Schizosaccharomyces pombe: one gene and its partners. The protein of the gene in region 1 binds, or shares a complex with, the protein of each later gene. Each region holds a gene or a part of one and is shown on either strand. Other genes may lie near its edges.

The links.
Region 2: mrpl17 (region 1) and mrpl31 share a complex: the UniProt entries of both Schizosaccharomyces pombe proteins name them as parts of the mitochondrial large ribosomal subunit.
Region 3: mrpl17 (region 1) and SPOM_SPCC777.17C share a complex: the UniProt entries of both Schizosaccharomyces pombe proteins name them as parts of the mitochondrial large ribosomal subunit.
Region 4: mrpl17 (region 1) and mrpl10 share a complex: the UniProt entries of both Schizosaccharomyces pombe proteins name them as parts of the mitochondrial large ribosomal subunit.

Annotation. Positions count from the first base shown.
Region 1 is NC_003421.2:2,123,220-2,128,054, forward strand, and holds mrpl17 (mitochondrial 54S ribosomal protein mL46), read right to left. Parts: upstream 2,527-4,835; 5' UTR 2,442-2,526; coding exon 2,324-2,441; exon of another isoform or gene 2,230-2,323; coding exon 1,796-2,229; intron 1,648-1,795; coding exon 1,549-1,647; intron 1,482-1,548; coding exon 1,326-1,481; 3' UTR 914-1,325; downstream 1-913. Other genes in the region: SAGA complex deubiquitinating submodule subunit Sgf73, read right to left, coding at 55-637; twf1 (twinfilin), read left to right, coding at 2,731-2,755, 2,794-2,871, 2,935-3,302, 3,411-3,539, 3,595-3,730, 3,771-3,889, 3,932-4,063; ubiquitin-protein ligase E3 Asr1, read right to left, coding at 4,515-4,835. UniProt on the Schizosaccharomyces pombe protein: Component of the mitochondrial ribosome (mitoribosome), a dedicated translation machinery responsible for the synthesis of mitochondrial genome-encoded proteins, including at least some of the essential transmembrane subunits of the mitochondrial respiratory chain.
Region 2 is NC_003421.2:886,657-890,240, reverse strand, and holds mrpl31 (mitochondrial 54S ribosomal protein mL60), read right to left. Parts: upstream 1,656-3,584; 5' UTR 1,384-1,655; coding exon 1,036-1,383; 3' UTR 946-1,035; downstream 1-945. Other genes in the region: ubiquitin hydrolase Ubp1, read left to right, coding at 1-804; oca8 (cytochrome b5), read left to right, coding at 1,854-2,001, 2,508-2,599, 2,686-2,835; TIM23 translocase complex subunit Tim23, read left to right, coding at 3,508-3,584. UniProt on the Schizosaccharomyces pombe protein: Component of the mitochondrial ribosome (mitoribosome), a dedicated translation machinery responsible for the synthesis of mitochondrial genome-encoded proteins, including at least some of the essential transmembrane subunits of the mitochondrial respiratory chain.
Region 3 is NC_003421.2:1,616,845-1,620,984, reverse strand, and holds SPOM_SPCC777.17C (mitochondrial ribosomal protein subunit L9), read left to right. Parts: upstream 1-1,926; coding exon 1,927-2,016; exon of another isoform or gene 2,017-2,065; coding exon 2,066-2,141; exon of another isoform or gene 2,142-2,271; coding exon 2,272-2,411; 3' UTR 2,412-2,839; downstream 2,840-4,140. Other genes in the region: retromer complex subunit Vps35, read right to left, coding at 1-1,429; SPOM_SPCC777.12C (ER stress response thioredoxin family membrane disulfide oxidoreductase), read left to right, coding at 2,939-3,217, 3,338-3,775; protein Gta3, read right to left, coding at 3,936-4,140. UniProt on the Schizosaccharomyces pombe protein: Component of the mitochondrial ribosome (mitoribosome), a dedicated translation machinery responsible for the synthesis of mitochondrial genome-encoded proteins, including at least some of the essential transmembrane subunits of the mitochondrial respiratory chain.
Region 4 is NC_003423.3:1,820,728-1,824,799, reverse strand, and holds mrpl10 (mitochondrial 54S ribosomal protein uL15m), read right to left. Parts: upstream 1,898-4,072; 5' UTR 1,865-1,897; coding exon 1,100-1,864; 3' UTR 843-1,099; downstream 1-842. Other genes in the region: Nop52 family nucleolar protein, read right to left, coding at 44-151, 196-238; U6 snRNP-associated protein Lsm3, read left to right, coding at 2,127-2,144, 2,186-2,278, 2,349-2,366, 2,421-2,535, 2,637-2,674; translation elongation factor EF-Tu Tuf1, read left to right, coding at 3,391-3,525, 3,577-4,072. UniProt on the Schizosaccharomyces pombe protein: Component of the mitochondrial ribosome (mitoribosome), a dedicated translation machinery responsible for the synthesis of mitochondrial genome-encoded proteins, including at least some of the essential transmembrane subunits of the mitochondrial respiratory chain.

The DNA of each region.
Region 1 (4,835 bases):
ATTAAAGTAAACAGGTACTCCATTCTCCATATTGAACAGCATAAACCAACATACCTTTGACCTTTGGATTCTTCTTCTTGCTAGCCTCTTTCTTGGGAAGGGCGGATTTTGTAGGCTTTTTGTTTTCTTCTGTCTTCCGACGTTTTGGAGGCATTTCAGGATTCTTTTGACCATTAACTGAATTCTTTTCATGATTCCCAGCTGAGCCCTTAGCTGTCGATTTAACACCATTTTTGATGGGTGCATTATTGCCATTGTTGACATCTTTGTTTAAAACCTGAGAATTCGCAACAGGCTCAAATTGAGGCTTAGGAGGTTTAATTCCATTGCATGAGCTATGATGGTCCTCAATATACTCTGATAGGAAGGGTCGGTCGCATTTTGTGCATACAACATAATCGAGTTCTGAATTGTTAGGATATGACCCATACTGAGGAAAGGAATCAGCAGGTAGTAAAATTTGAGTTTGATTCGTAATGTTAGAAGTTATTTCATCCTTTACCTGTGATTCTGTATTATCAACTCTTTGATCAGCGAGTACATCTTTGGGTAACCCATCCGGGTATTTCAACAAAACTTGCTCATTTCTTTCCCAATTTTCTGGAAATAACTCCAAAGTCTGTTGTTCTGTTAACATTTTATTGATAAGAACCGAGTTTATAAACAGAATTCTACAAAGTTGCCCTTTGTCAATTCCTTTGTAGTGGGACTAAATCTGTAAGTCAAGTGTATGTACGGTTTAATGCTTCCAGAAAGCAAAGTCTATAATTGCATTCTAATGAACTTTCAAAGGATTATGCTGACACATATCATTTCTGATAATTACTAAATTATACAGACATTGTCTTTAAGGGCTAGACTATGACTGACAAAAGAATTTTTGATCTTGGAATTGAGGACAAACTACGGATATCAATTTTGATTAACAATTCTATTTTTTTAGGTCCCTTGAGCTAAACATAGTTTATTATTAAGGTGCGCGCTTTTCCCGTTTTCTCGTACACTGCCAAGAATCCACAGATCATGAGGGTGAGTAATCATGAAATCCGGACTCCAAAAGTAGGCGGCTGAAAATAAAATACTGGCAGAATCATTTGCAAATAAAAAGATAGAATAAATAAGGAGAAATACTTAGTGAAATTCCAAAATTATTTGTTTTTTTTTACATCGTACCAAAACATCAAAAATTAAGGAGAGAAAAAAATAGAAAACGTGAAAATTAAGCTGAAAAATGCAGTAAGATTGTAGAAAGATTGAATTTCCAAGATGAAATGTTCCGCTGTTTATTTTCCGTAGATTTTACATATTGTTTGCTCAATTGAAGATTACAAACGATCGGAAAGTATGTTTTTTACAGAATCCCATGAAGAAGGAGAAAGTTTGTTTTTCAGTTCATCGTACGTACACCAAACCCAGTCATAAACGTTTTGCAGGTTAGGTACATCTAATCCATTTAATAAACGAGCACGTAACAAGAAGGTCTAGAAATAACTGGTTAAACAAAAAATCAACCCAGATAAAATGAGAACAAAAAATCCGTAGTCTTACCTTTTCTTGTTCCGTTTTTAGTAATGCTAATGGATGACGTGCAACTAGCCAAGTCAACGAATTTTCGTCTAATATATTTTTTAAAAGATCTTGACATAACTACAGTTTGTTAGAAAGGCCAATCTGCAGACTATGTAAACAAAAATTGCAAGAGTATTTGATAAATTATTTAGCATCAAATCAATAGTAAGTAGTCTCTTGCACTATATTGTGTATCTTGGAATCGAATTTTAAAAAATGTACTTACCAGATGCAGCGCCTTCTCGGAGCTTGTAACAGGAGTGTTAGGAAATTGCCAACCCGAGCTTTTAGATTTTTTTACCAACAAGTAAAGGGACTTGTCAAGCGAGCGAAGAGTGCTTCGCTCATCGTTTTTCGTATCAGCTTCTGTGACTCTGGATTGCAAGTGAGTTGCAGAATCCAATAATTTGTTAGACTCCATCTCTTTCCTTTCCTTTCCAAATATCGTCTCAAAGGGTGATTCTTTACCTTTTAGTGTTTTTTGTCGTTCTTGCCAATCTTTTTCACCCACCGATCCCTTCTTGAAATAAAATTCTGCAGGTAAAGGATCACTCAGCTCATTCCAAAGTTCCGCATTATATTTATATATAGATTTTTCGAATTCGGATGGTTGGCGAGTAAGAATTGGCGATCTAATTAAAATTGTACCCACTGAACAACCTAAGATATGTTAGCAATCATGTACATCAAAGGTAATTTTTTTATTTATATTTAATATCCCTAGATAATTCATTTTCATTTTTTAATTCTGTACCTTTTAGAGGAGTCGAGTTAGACAAGGGTTTAGAGGATTGAATGGAATTTCGTACAGAAATGTGAAATTGACGCGAAAAAGACCTCTGCATATTTATAATATTTCTCTTCAAGTACATTGTTTAAACTTAGTCAATTTACGCCAAGTAAATCTCCAAATTTCGGCTTTGTTTACTAATCCGGTAAAGACCACTTGGTAAAGGCAATCGACGTTTCGCTATGGCTAGCACTACCACCTGTTTTACCAGCGTACATTACACGCTTCGTTAAGTACTGTAATATTTCTTAGAGACTCTGTTGCTATCGTTAATATGTTTTAATAGATTTCTTTGGATTTCGTTATAATTCAATTTAACTCACTTAGAATGGGGAATTGCTGACGCAGTAAACCTTTCAATCCCCATAACAATGTCTGCTTCCGTCGAATTAAAACGTAAGAAATTTGGCTAAATTCTTCTAACGTGTGGATAGCTACAGAGAAGTTCAGTAAATTTCTCGAGGAGTACTCTTCGGTACCGGTTCGCGCCGCCATTATTAGCATTTCTAATGGTAAGTTTCCATTCGGGCTAGAAGAGTAAATTTTAAGTTAGTTGAAGTTACTAAATGATTTAGAGAATTCATTTGACGTGAAAACAATGGTTGAAAAATCAGAATCGATAGAATCTGATTTTAAGAAAGTCCGTGAATGTTTGCTCGGATCTGAAGAACCTGCATTTGTCCTCGTTTATGATGATAGCAAGAAAAATCTATTACAATTAATTTCCTATGTCCCTGAAAATGCGAATGTTCGCAGGAAGATGTTATATGCCTCTAGTCGTGCTGCATTTGTAAGATGCGTAACTCTTGCTAAACTCGACGAGTCTTATTTCGCAAGTACTCCGGAAGAGTTAGATTATCAGCAAATTATGAAGAGCTTAAGCAAGCAAGAGGACCAAAGTCCTTTACGACAAGATGAACTCGAAAGGAAAGAGTACAATGAGGTAGGTAAACTGTATTGGGGTGGATGGATTTTTCATACTTCTTTACCGTGGCTCGTAGAATTTATAGCTTCTACTCTTTTATTTGCATCTATTTTAACAACTATGTAGTCTATGCAATCCTCAGTAACTCATAAGCGTCCTTTGGTGACCCGTGGTGTTGCTATGTCGATTGATGATAAAGCCTTAAAGGCTCTTTCTGATTTAAAATCATCTACAGAAAACAATCTTGTTATTTTGGTAAGGAAGCTATGATACTTTTGCTATGTATGGTGTTGCTAACCTCCTTTAAAAGTCTATTGACAAAGAAGTCATAAGTTTAAGTCAAGAAAAGCAAAATATACCTCCTTCTGATGTGAAATCCTTCTTTTCTTCCACCGAACCTAATTTCGCTTTCTATTCCCTGCCAAAAGACGGCTCTTCAAAAATTTGTAAGTACAGATGCAGGATCATTTTATTAACAAGGTCTAGTGTTTATATACATTTGTCCAATGCAAGCAACTGTCAAACATCGAATGGTTTATTCTTCTTCCAAACTTGGTCTTTTGGATAGTATTAAAGCAGAATTGGGTATTGTTATTGATGGCAAGGTATGTTTATCCCTCGTAGTAGATTTTATGCTCACATGACAGATTGAATCGAATGATGCCGCTGATATAACTGAAAAGGAAATTCTTCATGCTGCTGGGATATCAAGTCCTCAAGCAGAAACAAGCACCACCAAAACTGGTTTTTCGAGACCTCGACCCCCTAGAAGACGTTAAGCAAGTATATACAATTTTTTGCGGTTTCAAATTTACAGACTTTTTAGTTTATCAATCTTTTTCATGACATTTCAAATTCGAATTAAAACAAAATATACTACCAACGCCTATATTGAGCACACGTTGCATGCTATATTAACGGTCTCACTTTGCAATGCAAAATGTTATACTTCAATAAATAGAATAAGACAATCACTAGATCTATACATTGTTTCCTCTTTTCTAAAAGCGAAATCCTTAAAGACTCCATTCTTGACGAGTGTTAATCTTGCAAACATATATTGTTCAAACATTAAAGAAACACTATCCTTCATTAACAAAATAAATACTCTTTTGGAAATTGTAATTGACCTCAAAAGTTACTTTCTGATTTCCAAAAGATTAGATATGATATAATATTAAAAGCATATGCACCAAACCATAACTCCTATCATAAATACATAACTCATAATCAGTCATTTGAAAGAGACTGTATACAGTTAACAACCTTTTCCCGTATTGTCTTGCTTATTTTATGTTGCTGAGGTCCTTCAAGCGACAGAGTACCATCCGATAACGCAGTGTATACAGATCGACAGATATTCTTATTGAATAGAGCAAATTGATCTTTAGATATTTTTGCTTCTCGATAATAAGGCTTCAGAGCTGCGTTAACTAGCCGTTCTATTCGATACTTCGTTTCATAAGAGACTTTTTTGCTGGAATGCACCAAATCATGTCGGCCCGAAGTGCGTCGTTGATGCATACTCGTATCATTAACTAAATGATTATC
Region 2 (3,584 bases), 1.2 Mb from region 1:
CCTTTACAACTCAACGTCCGTTCTCGAAATGTACTCACAAATGATTTAGTGAAAGAGATTGTCGAACTGTATCGAGTTTATGCAGGCATAGACGTAGCAATCGGAACTCTTCAGCTTGGACTGAAGCGGATGGAAAGTAAGGCCGGGAAATGGGAATGCATAAAGGAAATTGAGGTTAAAAGGTTTGAAATAGTGGAGGAAGAGGAAATCGTTATTGACGACAAAACTGTAATTATGTGTCTATGGAACGATCAACAATATGAAAAGTTATTTTATAACTGCGAATGGATATTTGAAAAAATTCAGTTCCATATGGAGTCCATCACCCTTGAAGATTGTTTACTGGAGTTTTCCAAGCCAGAGCAGCTTGATTTACAGGATTCCTGGTATTGTCCTGGGTGTAAGGCATTTCGACCGGCAACAAAACGGCTGGAGATCTGGCGATTGCCAAAAATACTAGTCATTCATTTAAATCGATTCAGCGGCCACGGTGGAGATTTGCGGAGAAGACGTAAACGAAGGGATTTAGTAGTTTATCCAGTATTTGATCTCAATTTGAAGCAATTTTTGAGTCCATTTATAAAAGATCATGAGTGGCTATCGTCACAGAAATCGATGCTTTACGATTTGTATGCAGTGGACAATCATCACGGGTTTATGAGTAATGGTCATTATACTGCCTATGCAAGAGATGCATCGAGCCAAACATTCTTTAAGTTTGATGATACAGCTATTTGTGAAATAGATCCGGAGGATATTGTCACATCGTCTGCTTATGTATTGTTTTACAGAGCAAAGAATTAAAGAGACGTATAATAGAGGTGATATGAACTTTACTCTAACTAAAGGCTAATGTCGTTTGTTTGAATATGTATGAAACTGGAAATTGAATATGAACGAAGACGAGGAAGAGGTGGGAGTTTTTGCAATAAAAAAGTAATAAAATAAGCTATTAAAATAATCCATTACATTTATTATTCATAGAGCATTAAAATTATGAAAAAAAAAGTAGTAAACTTTTGCAACCAGACGTTTTTAAAAGCCAGTGGGATTAACACGATTAGTACTACGGGTCCATTTTGGTGATTTATGGACACCCTTGCGGAAGCCTTGGAGACCGGCACCTTGAGTCTTCCTGGTAAACATAGTGTATTTATCCTTTGGTGACATTTGGGATTCAGGCTGATGGTTAGCAACGAAACTTTCAATTCGTTTGCACGATTGATTTTTCTCTTGCAACGCCGTGCGCAAAACATCTACCACCTCATCGACGGCACGAAGTCGTTGACGGTGACGATATTTTCTTCGCTGGGATAATCTCCAAGGTACTTTATGAACAAGACCGCCAAAGCGAGCCAAAGTCGAGTTAAATGCACCCAGCATATTTTTCGTATAAAATCAAAAGGAGAGGAAGAAGGTTGGATCAAAAAGAGCAAATAAAAATTTTTTGTTAAGTTTTTGGGTGATAGACAAATTCTGAGTAGTTGATGGTTTGTCACAAAGTAGTTTACGGCTCCAACGAAACAGCAAAGATGTGAACAAAAATTAACTTGATTAGCGTCCTAAATTGATTTAAATATTATATTGCCATTCAAATATAAACACTACACCTCCAAAATGGTGGAGTTGGTTAACTGAAGAATGATATAGGTTTTGGGTAAGTTCATATCCTTGGGTGTACCTTCCAACTCGAATCCACGTGACCACCTGCCAGTAAGAATCGGCTCATTTCTACTTCCCACCTGCTAGATAAATCGCGATAGGGCATTTGCAACCAACATCTCGAGAGTAATTAGCTCCTGGGTTATAACCGTTAAATACCACCTTTAAGGAAGAATAAGCAGAACTTGATCATGGCAGAGAAGACAATTACTGTTGAAGAAGTGTTAAAACATAACACTCGTGATGATTTGTACATTGTTGTAAAAGACAAGGTGTATGATATTTCCAAGTTCCTTGACGCTCACCCTGGTGGTGAAGAGGTTCTTGTTGATTTGGCCGGTAAGTAAATTTTTAGGGGTACGCGATAATGGAGGTCTTGAGGAAGATTGGTTGTAATGCATAAAAATTGGTCGCGATTGTGTGGAGTCGTAGAAATCGAAGTTTCAGACAACTAGCGTTACAAAACTTTGAATTTCACGAGAGTTTAGGTGTCGCATATACACATGTTCTTTAATTTGAAAGATTCAGGACGAATCTTTGCCGTAGGAACGTACAAAAATAGATGCGATATCCTGAATAAATACGATGTTTAATGCGACATTGTCATTGAAGGTGAATTGTTAAGTACAGTCTATATGTTCCAAGATTGATCGCTCTCTACTCGATGTTTTGTATTTCCAGTACTCTGAATACACTGAAATACATAATTTTGGAAAGATTGATTGACGATATCGCTTCGATTCTTCACATACGGCTTTTGGATTGGCTATACAAAGTTTCTGCCTTTCTCTACCATCGCTAGGGGCTTTTTTTTGTTCGTTTCTGTGATTATTAACTTGTTTTAGGTCGTGATGCTAGCGGTCCTTTCGAGGATGTTGGTCACTCTGAGGATGCTCAGGAGTTGCTCGAAAAATTTTACATTGGAAACTTGCTCAGAGTATGTCATTTATTTTTTCTCTTCGTTCGCCATAGGCTCGTTAAAATTTTTGTAAAAATTTGCTTCGACACTCTAACATATTTTAGACTGAAGATGGCCCTCAGCTTCCCACAACTGGTGCTGCCGCTGGTGGAAGTGGATATGATTCTTCTCAACCAGTTAAGCCTGCTATGTGGCTCTTTGTCCTTGTGATGGTTGTTGCTTACTTTGCTTTTCGCAAGTATGTCCTCAAATAGACTGCTTAAATTCCCAGTCTTACTTTTGCGCTCAAAGAAATTTAAAGGCCTTCTTTCGTTTTGGGTCGTTTAAATGTGCTGAATATGGTTTTGTGATTTTGAGCTAGCAAGTTTCGTTTTTTGTTGTTGTTAGATATCTACTTTAGCTTTCTTTACCTGTTCGTACTTAGGATATTTACGGATTCAATGTATTCCTTTAACACGCTTTGGTTTGGCTCTTAATGTGAATGGCATATTAATATTAATAGAGACCTTTGATTTGTCTGGACGTAAATTTAATTCACAACGGTCTTATGCTTGCTTTGCGTAACTGTATAATTGATAATACTTAGTGTTATATTTTTTGTATTTTCGTTGTTTGTTCTCTCATAAAAAAAAGTTTTATAGTTTCTTCTATTCTATTGTTTTATCGATGGACCTATGCCCAACTTGTCTAGAATTTTAAGCGGTGATCGAGTAAATAAGTTCGGGCGTTATTTAACGATCGAGGATTTATTCATTAAGTCTTTTTTTTTATATATAAATGTAAATTCATGATAATTGCGACACTTTTTACGTCTCAACAATTTTTTTCTACTATTTTAATTTAGGTGCTAATACACAGTTCCTGTAACCACCGCTACCTGCAGACAACCACCATCGCGCCTTTGCGAAAAATCAACTTTTTAAGATATGTCTTGGTTGTTTACAAGAAATAAAGAAGAGGAACCAACCTCAAAGATTGATTCTTCTGAATTGCAGGTCCCTAC
Region 3 (4,140 bases), 510 kb from region 1:
TCATTCTTGCAATATCGTAACGAAGGTTTGGATCTTGCGCATTAAATACAGGAAGGAAATTCTGTAGCTCAAGACAGTAAGAAAAGGAAGGGAAATATGTAAGAGGAAGCAATAAAATTGCGCAAAGACTTTTTTGTAATGGACGTTCATGAAGAGCGCTTCGTAAGGAGGGCTGGTTAATGATATGTTCGTTAATGTATTGAAAAACACGATCTGCATACTGGGGTTTATAAGGGTAACACCGCAAGAAAAAATTGAGGATGCTAGAAAGTATAGAAACAATACAATCTAGTGGAAGACCACTACGAGATTGAATAACTTCAACAACATGTGACCATAAAACCTCTTGAATAGCATATTCTGGAGGAATTACTTTATCTCCAGGGCATTCTTGCTCGTCTTTTTGCTGTACTTCCTCATTAATTTTTATGTCTCCTAATTTTTCGGTTACAGTCTCAGATTCATCTTCATTAGAAGAATCAGATTCATATTCACGTTGGACATAGTCCGTAAGGCGATTCAACATAGCGACCACAAGTTGGGTTACGTTTACGCTTGGAGAAAGCTTTATGACCGTACCGAAATATGTATCGAGGGTTTGAAGATGCATATTATCAGAAAACGCCTGACAAATTACTTCAACAAGATACTCTTGTGCAAGTGAGTCCCGACATTCAATAATTTGCTCGATTATGGCAGGAAGGACATGATCTCGGTAAGTGTCTATATCGAGGTTTAACTGAGATAATCGAACCAAATTCAGCCCAACAAGAACCTTTAGCTCATTCCTTTCTTGGGTACGTTTGGAAAATTCTTTAATTGGACCAAGATGTTGGATTCTAACCCACAATTTATTCATTTCCGTAAAGTTGATAACTAAAAATTTAACAGAATCGAGTACGGTTCCTTTGCGAGATGCATCTTCCTCATCTTCTGATCCCAAAGGTAATCCTTTTCTTGTTTGGGTAAGCAGATAATGGCGCAAAAAAAGACCTCTTAACGGATGCTGAACACCTCTACACATATCTAACAAATCATTCATAATTTCACGTACAAGGGCATTAGGCGTTTCCAAATAAGCGCTTCCAACGGTTATCATGAGATATAAACGAGGGACAATACTACCGGCATATTGAACAAGTTCATAAAGGTCCATTAGGTTGTGAGTACCGTTCAGATGCGTTTCCAGCAATGTGCCCCCAAGTAAACGCAAGCTTTCCATATTAAACATATACAGCTCATAGTATTGTTTTGGAGTAAGTGCAGAATTTCTCATTTCCACGAGACTAATACTGCAATTACGAAATGCATCCATCAATCGTCCTGTCTGCAAGTTTCTTTGCATCAGCCTACTAGACTGCTTGCAAATATTTAAGGACTCTTCCAAGCTCCTTGTAATTTCTTCGTTAGCAGTATTAATTCCGTTCATAGAGCCCTAAATATCCACTTCCAAGTGTTTCAATTTAACCAACGTAATTGTAATTTCAGTATAGTTTTACTAGCGGCCCAACTTTCGAACAGAAAAACAGGATGTTTGTTATTCTTTTTAATTCACTAATATTAGCAATGTTTTTTATAATGGGTTCGTTGAAATGTCTACAAATAAAGTTGGTGGTACTGGTTGAGATATATTGGTAGATCTTGAAGTATTGCGCGCAGCACAGCTTGGAATCGCGCTTCGCTCAATTTCAAATTGACCATTTTCATATCACAAATATCGCGCCTAAATAGTATATTATTTTGATAACAATTAAAAGAAACTATAAATCTAATCATCGGAAAGGTTCACACTACAAGATTCGTCTTAGACCTCTAAACTAACGGTTTTTGAATTCTACATTCAATTGAGAATTTATTTAAGCTGCTTTTCTTTTTATTTTGTAAAAACTTTCTTGACGGATTTCTTGGTGCACCCATTTAATTGAAATGAGTATTATGAAACCGACAACTCGATTTTTTCGCTTCAATTCCCTTGAACTAGCAGTCTCACCTTTTCAAAGAATTTATGGGCAACTGGTATGTCAAGCTTATAAAAAAAATCACCGTTACTTACACAGTTATTTAGAGGTTTCTTCGTAAACAGCCAAAACCGTTTTTGGTAAAACTGTTAAACAACGAAGTTTCAAAGCTAGGAAGGCAAGGTATGCTAAATTTTTCATAATTATAATGTTCTTCATTTCAAACCTATAATAGGGAGGTAGTGGTTACATCCTTTTATTATAAGAAATGCATTCTTTTAGCCGTCGTAGGAAACTACTAACTTTACAAAAGGTGATGTCGTCTCAGTGACAAGGGGATATTATCGAAATACACTTTTCCCCAAGAAGCAAGCGATTGCTGTTGATGCCTTAAAATCTATGAAAGCACATTTGTTACAAGGGTCCGAATTCTCGACGAAAACGAAGGAATAATAATACCTAAACTCTCACTTAGTTCAATCAACATAAAAAGAATTTATTGAGTTTATTAGTGGATTAATTAAGGCTTAGCTAGCTGCAATTTGAACAATTCTAGCTTTTCATTACGAGATATTGTTACATTACTAACAAGAATTACGAAGTATTCAGCATTGACTTTTTTCTATAAAAAAATATAAAAAATTTAATTAAAAGGCTTCACTAGAAGCGTAGTCTCTTTCTGAGTTTGAATATTATCGTTATTGTAATATTTTATCAGGGTTGATGCTTAGTGTTTCTCAATTACAATAACAAGCTTTGGATTTTCCTATAATAGTATAGTTAATATGAAATTTAAATCCTTGAATGGTAAACGTTTACTGCGTATTGTGCGGCCATCGTTTCTGCTCTATCAGCTCGTCTAGCATCTTCTTCTCACAGCTACCAACTATTTTGAGTTGGATCCAAAATCATCTCATAACTCGTGTTTATTATTGCTAAAGCAGCAGAGAAAATATTTTTCATTACCTTATTCAGCTTCAATGAAAATTAATTTGTTTTTTGTGTTTCTATTTGAACTTCTGCATTTCGTGGCAGCTTATAGTTGTGAAGGAGATGAATCAGCTGCCATTGAAGCTATGAATGTCTTACAGGTACCGTATGAAAAATACAACACAGACCCAGTTTGCGCTTTTGACAATTCCACCGTTGTCGAACTTTCAGATAAAACCTGGGATCATGTCATTGAATCTGGCAAATGGTTTGTGCAGTTGACTGCTGAAGGCTGTGCTAACTGTACTCTTGGAGAGCTACTTTTTAACGTAAGTAATGGACTGCATTTAATGTTGTCCAAATGCTCTTGTTATGAGATTGAATTTTGAGCCTCGGAAATAAATTAAACCATCTTTGGATTTAATTGAATCTGTACTAACTAATTTTAGGACCTTTCGCATGCTTTTCATGAAAAATATCCGGATGTCCACTTTGCCCGTGTTTACTTGAGCAGTAGCCTCGAACTTTCTGTACGCTTACTCATTTCTCGGATTCCTTCTTATTATTTCATCGATAATCAAAATTTCTACCGTGTTTCTCCTCAGGTTCTTCCCAAGAACAAGGCAATCGCCTTATATGAAAAAGACGGGTTCAAAAGTATGAAAAAAGAGCAAGGTTTTTTCTCTGTTAACGGGCCCTTGAAGTCCTTTTACTGGGTCTTTGGAAAGGCACTTGCACTTTACGGACACTTAAGTCAAAAATACACCCCTCTTGGAATGAATGTAGCTATTTTTGGGATCTCTGCCTACATAATGTATCGCTCTAGCAAAAAAGCGAAACAAAAACAAGCCGCTGCTGCTGCCGCCGCCGCTGCAAAAAAGAAATAAGCTATGTGGAAAATACTATTAGTTTTTGATAATATCAATTTTTTGAATAATTATACGAGAGTTTGTTACATGTTCTATATGTAAGGCACCGCTCTAGTAAAGGTTTATACCCTATTTGTTTCATTCCTTCCTTTTTTAACAGAACGTAGATTTTCCAACCTTATTGCTTGTTTGGAGATTCATTAGAGGAATCATCTTTTAGCTTAGAATAAACGGCAAAGTACTGCCCGTCTCTTTTCTTAGCATTCTGAAATACATTCCACGGCTCTTGATCGGGTAATGATGGTAGAGATTCCGCATTAATAGCATGATTCAAAGTACGAAATGGTTCCTTAATGAAGGATGTATCAAGTCTCTCAATTGCA
Region 4 (4,072 bases), on another chromosome or scaffold:
AACAATTAGATGATTTACATTCATAACCCAAAAAAATTCATACAGTAAAATAAGCCCTTCCAAAGCTTGAGAAAGTCTAACCTTTCAAATTTTTTCTTTTGGCTTAAAAACCGCTGCAACGATTCAAGAGCCTTATCACGAGTTTTTCGATCTTACAGTGTTAGTACATTAATCATTTATATGTAAGAAATTTACCATTAGCTGCAAGTTTCTTAATAAACGGCGACGGAGCCGACATTGTTGGTTTATTGACAAAGTGTTGAAGCAGTTCTTAGCATCGTTCCTTCCATACTGCGTTTTAGTGCACTAATTGGAGAGTTGATAAATGTCCCTTTCTAATATATGAAATAAGGAGTTTCCCAGTCAATATGTATTATTTTTTTTAGAATTGACCGTTTATGTAGATTAATTGATCATAAGGTTAATGTACTACTATGGTTCGCTTACACTTCTATTACAAATGCCGGTTTTCTTAGTCATTCTTATATATAAGTCTTTAACCGTTCCATTGATCAACAAATGTTCTTTTTCTTCTTCCTTGCATGCCTTTGAAAAGGAGATCCTTTGAAAGATCTTTTCCTGTTGGATAGACAATCGGAGGATGAAAAAATTTTAAGAAAGCTTTAAACAAAAAAAGGCAAAAGATAATAATTTAACAAACAGTCGGCAGGGGTTCTTGATTATACAAAAAAAGTGCATGACTGCGAATGCTCAAATCTACTAATGAAGCAAATGAATAAATGTGAGAAAGGGTTTATCTGACAGAGAATGAACTGACTACAACAAGGGGATTTGGGGGATAAAGAAGGAAGCTATATTTTCGAATGAGAAAGGTATTCAAAATATTACTAATGGGTATTGAACTGTAAGCGAAAAAGTCAGTAGAGAGCTCAAACACCGAAATTGGAAACGTAATTATACAAATGTACTAAGAAAAGGATGCAGATATTTCCTTACAAAACTCAACATGTAACCCATCCAAGAAAGTAAAGGAGGCTGCACGGAATCATCAATAGACATAACAAAGTTTTAAGGACATATTAGGAAAGCGGGATTTTTGATGAACATATATCAAGTTCTGATGTAATATGGGAACTACTTATTTATCTTTAACAATCGGTTCGTAGGGGAATCGTTGGTCGCCATAATATAGCTCTCGAATATTTTTAACGTTGGCAAGATACCCTGCAAAATGTGGATTTGTGTAGTAGCGTATGTCTTTCTTTGAAACTGGAAGGGGAGGGCGAGGAGGTGTACGAAAACTTGAAGGATGCAAATGGGCACGTAGCGCCAACGGGCTGAAATATACTGTTGTTATACTGCCGCCTGCATTTTTGATTTGTTGTATAGCTTGAACTGTAGCCTTAGAAACTTCTATGGAAATTGCTGTTTTAAGGAGTCCAGGTTCGTCAGCAGTAAGTTCAACTCCATGTTTAATACCTCTACAGCATCTACTATCGAGGAGGTCTTTCATAGTAATTGTCTTGCTAGCATCCAATCTACCACGATCAATCCATTCCTGAACTCTCCCTAACCCCAGACGCAACGGTTTCTTCAAATGTCCCGTACTGTGACCAACTTTAGGAAATAATTTGGTGATAGGAGTTTGACCACCTTCAAAACCAGGTTTAATTCTCCGTCCACGCCTTTGACCAGATCCTTTATGACCACGTCCAGAGGTTTTTCCTAAACCGCTCGCAGGGCCTCTACCCACTCGCTTCTTTGACTGATAATTTGCACTGTTGTTTAAATCATTCAACATACTGATGCCGCGGAAACTAGCACCAAATCTTGGATAACCAGAGGATCTCAAAAAACCATGAAATGAAGAACTGCGACAAACCCGAGATAAAATATTAAACATTTTCCAATTCAAAAAACGGGTTTCGTCGAGTTTAGATGGTAATAAGTCCAAGGCTGCTGTTTACTATTACAAAAGATTCGGACACACACGAATACGTAAAATTCTATAGCGTCTCATAAAAATATCTTTATTACTATATTCAGCATCGCTGCACTGCGCAATTCGAATTTGTTTCCTCCTTTATTTCTTCCTGACATATGCCAGTGCATAATTGCAGCAACAGCGATCTTGCTTGGTAGATATAATAACCCTTTACTTTATAATGGAATCGGCACAGGCAGTAAGATTTATCAACAGTAACTCGGTAACTAATGTTTGTAGGTCGCGGAACCTCTTGATTTGGTGAGGCTTTCTTTGGATGAAATCGTTTATGTAAAATTACGGGGAGATAGAGAATTAAATGGCCGTCTTCATGTATGAAATTTTTTTAACGTTTCTTGAATATTTTTCTTATTCTGAATTGGTTATACTAACTCGATTGTAGGCCTATGATGAACATTTGGTATGAATCATATTCATAACTCGCATTTGGATGGATTACTTACACGTATTTTAGAATATGGTACTAGGAGATGCTGAAGAAATTGTAACTATTTTTGATGATGAAGAGACCGATAAGGACAAGGCCTTAAAAACGATTCGCAAACATTATGAGATGCTCTTTGTTCGTGGTACGTAGATTCTAAATATTACGCTCGAAAAGTTTGACCATGATTAAGCTTTCCTTTTCGAAACTGTTTTTCCTTTTTCGCCAAATGCTAATGAACTTTAGGTGATTCGGTTATTTTGATTGCTCCACCTCGTAATTAAAGGAACGAATAAAATTACTATACAAAGCTATCTACATATTTTTATCTCATTCTTTTGTTTAAAATTTTTCGCTTTAGAGGTGCTTCTTCGTACAATAGTAACGACTTTTGATTTGAGTATTCTATATTACAGAAAAGTTTGATTTTCCTTTATTCCGTTGGATGGATAGTTTTATCTTTCTTTAGTCACGCACCACTTCTTGTTATTCCTTACATCCTTTTACTTAATAAAAGCAAAAGACTCTTCGAAGTTAACCAACATTCACGAGACGCTGAGCTTTGTCATTGAGACTTTTCATTAATGGTTTTATTCTTTGTACTTGACAGGATAGTAAGCGATTTTTGCTTGCATGGTGGTTGCTCTTGCGATCTAGCAAAATCAGATTGACATTCCTTTAGAGATCAGAGACATAATACCATTCATTGTGCAAATAAAAAAAAACTATCAATTGCTTTCGATTTGGCGGTGTTGTTCACTAGTTCATCTAGTATTTTTTTATTATTAACAAGCGTATCATCATATATAGGCGTAGCGGTAAAATAGAACAAAATAAAATAAATTCTACAAATATTGATTGTATCCAAACACCCAGGACCATTTATTTCATGAAATGCTCGTGTCAATAGTATTCTCATAACGATGCGCACCGCTGAGACTTATTTCAAGGACAACACGAGCGCCAGAGACCTCTCCTCTGCCTACACGCTCCCTTCGTTATGAATTCAGCTAAAGCTACCTCTCTCCTCTTTCAAGGCTTTAGAAAAAATTGCTTGCGATTGAACCGCATTTCTTTCGCTTCAGGTTTGATTAACCGGTTCACCGTCCCAGCTCGAACTTATGCTGACGAAAAGGTATTTTTTTTTCATTCTTCATCTTTTTGATTACTTGTTAACTTTTTTAAGGTGTTCGTTAGAAAAAAGCCGCATGTCAATATTGGTACTATTGGTCATGTTGACCACGGTAAAACGACGTTGACGGCTGCTATTACTAAATGCCTTTCTGATCTTGGTCAAGCTAGTTTTATGGATTATAGTCAAATTGACAAGGCCCCCGAGGAAAAGGCACGTGGTATTACCATTTCATCTGCCCATGTTGAATACGAAACTGCTAATCGTCACTATGCCCATGTGGATTGTCCTGGTCACGCCGATTACATTAAGAATATGATTACTGGTGCTGCTACAATGGATGGCGCTATCATTGTTGTTTCTGCTACCGATGGTCAAATGCCTCAAACTCGTGAACATTTGCTTCTGGCTCGTCAAGTCGGTGTAAAGCAAATTGTTGTATACATCAATAAAGTCGATATGGTCGAGCCTGATATGATCGAGCTTGTCGAAATGGAAATGCGTGAGCTACTCTCCGAATACGGATTTGATGGTGACAATACTCCAATTG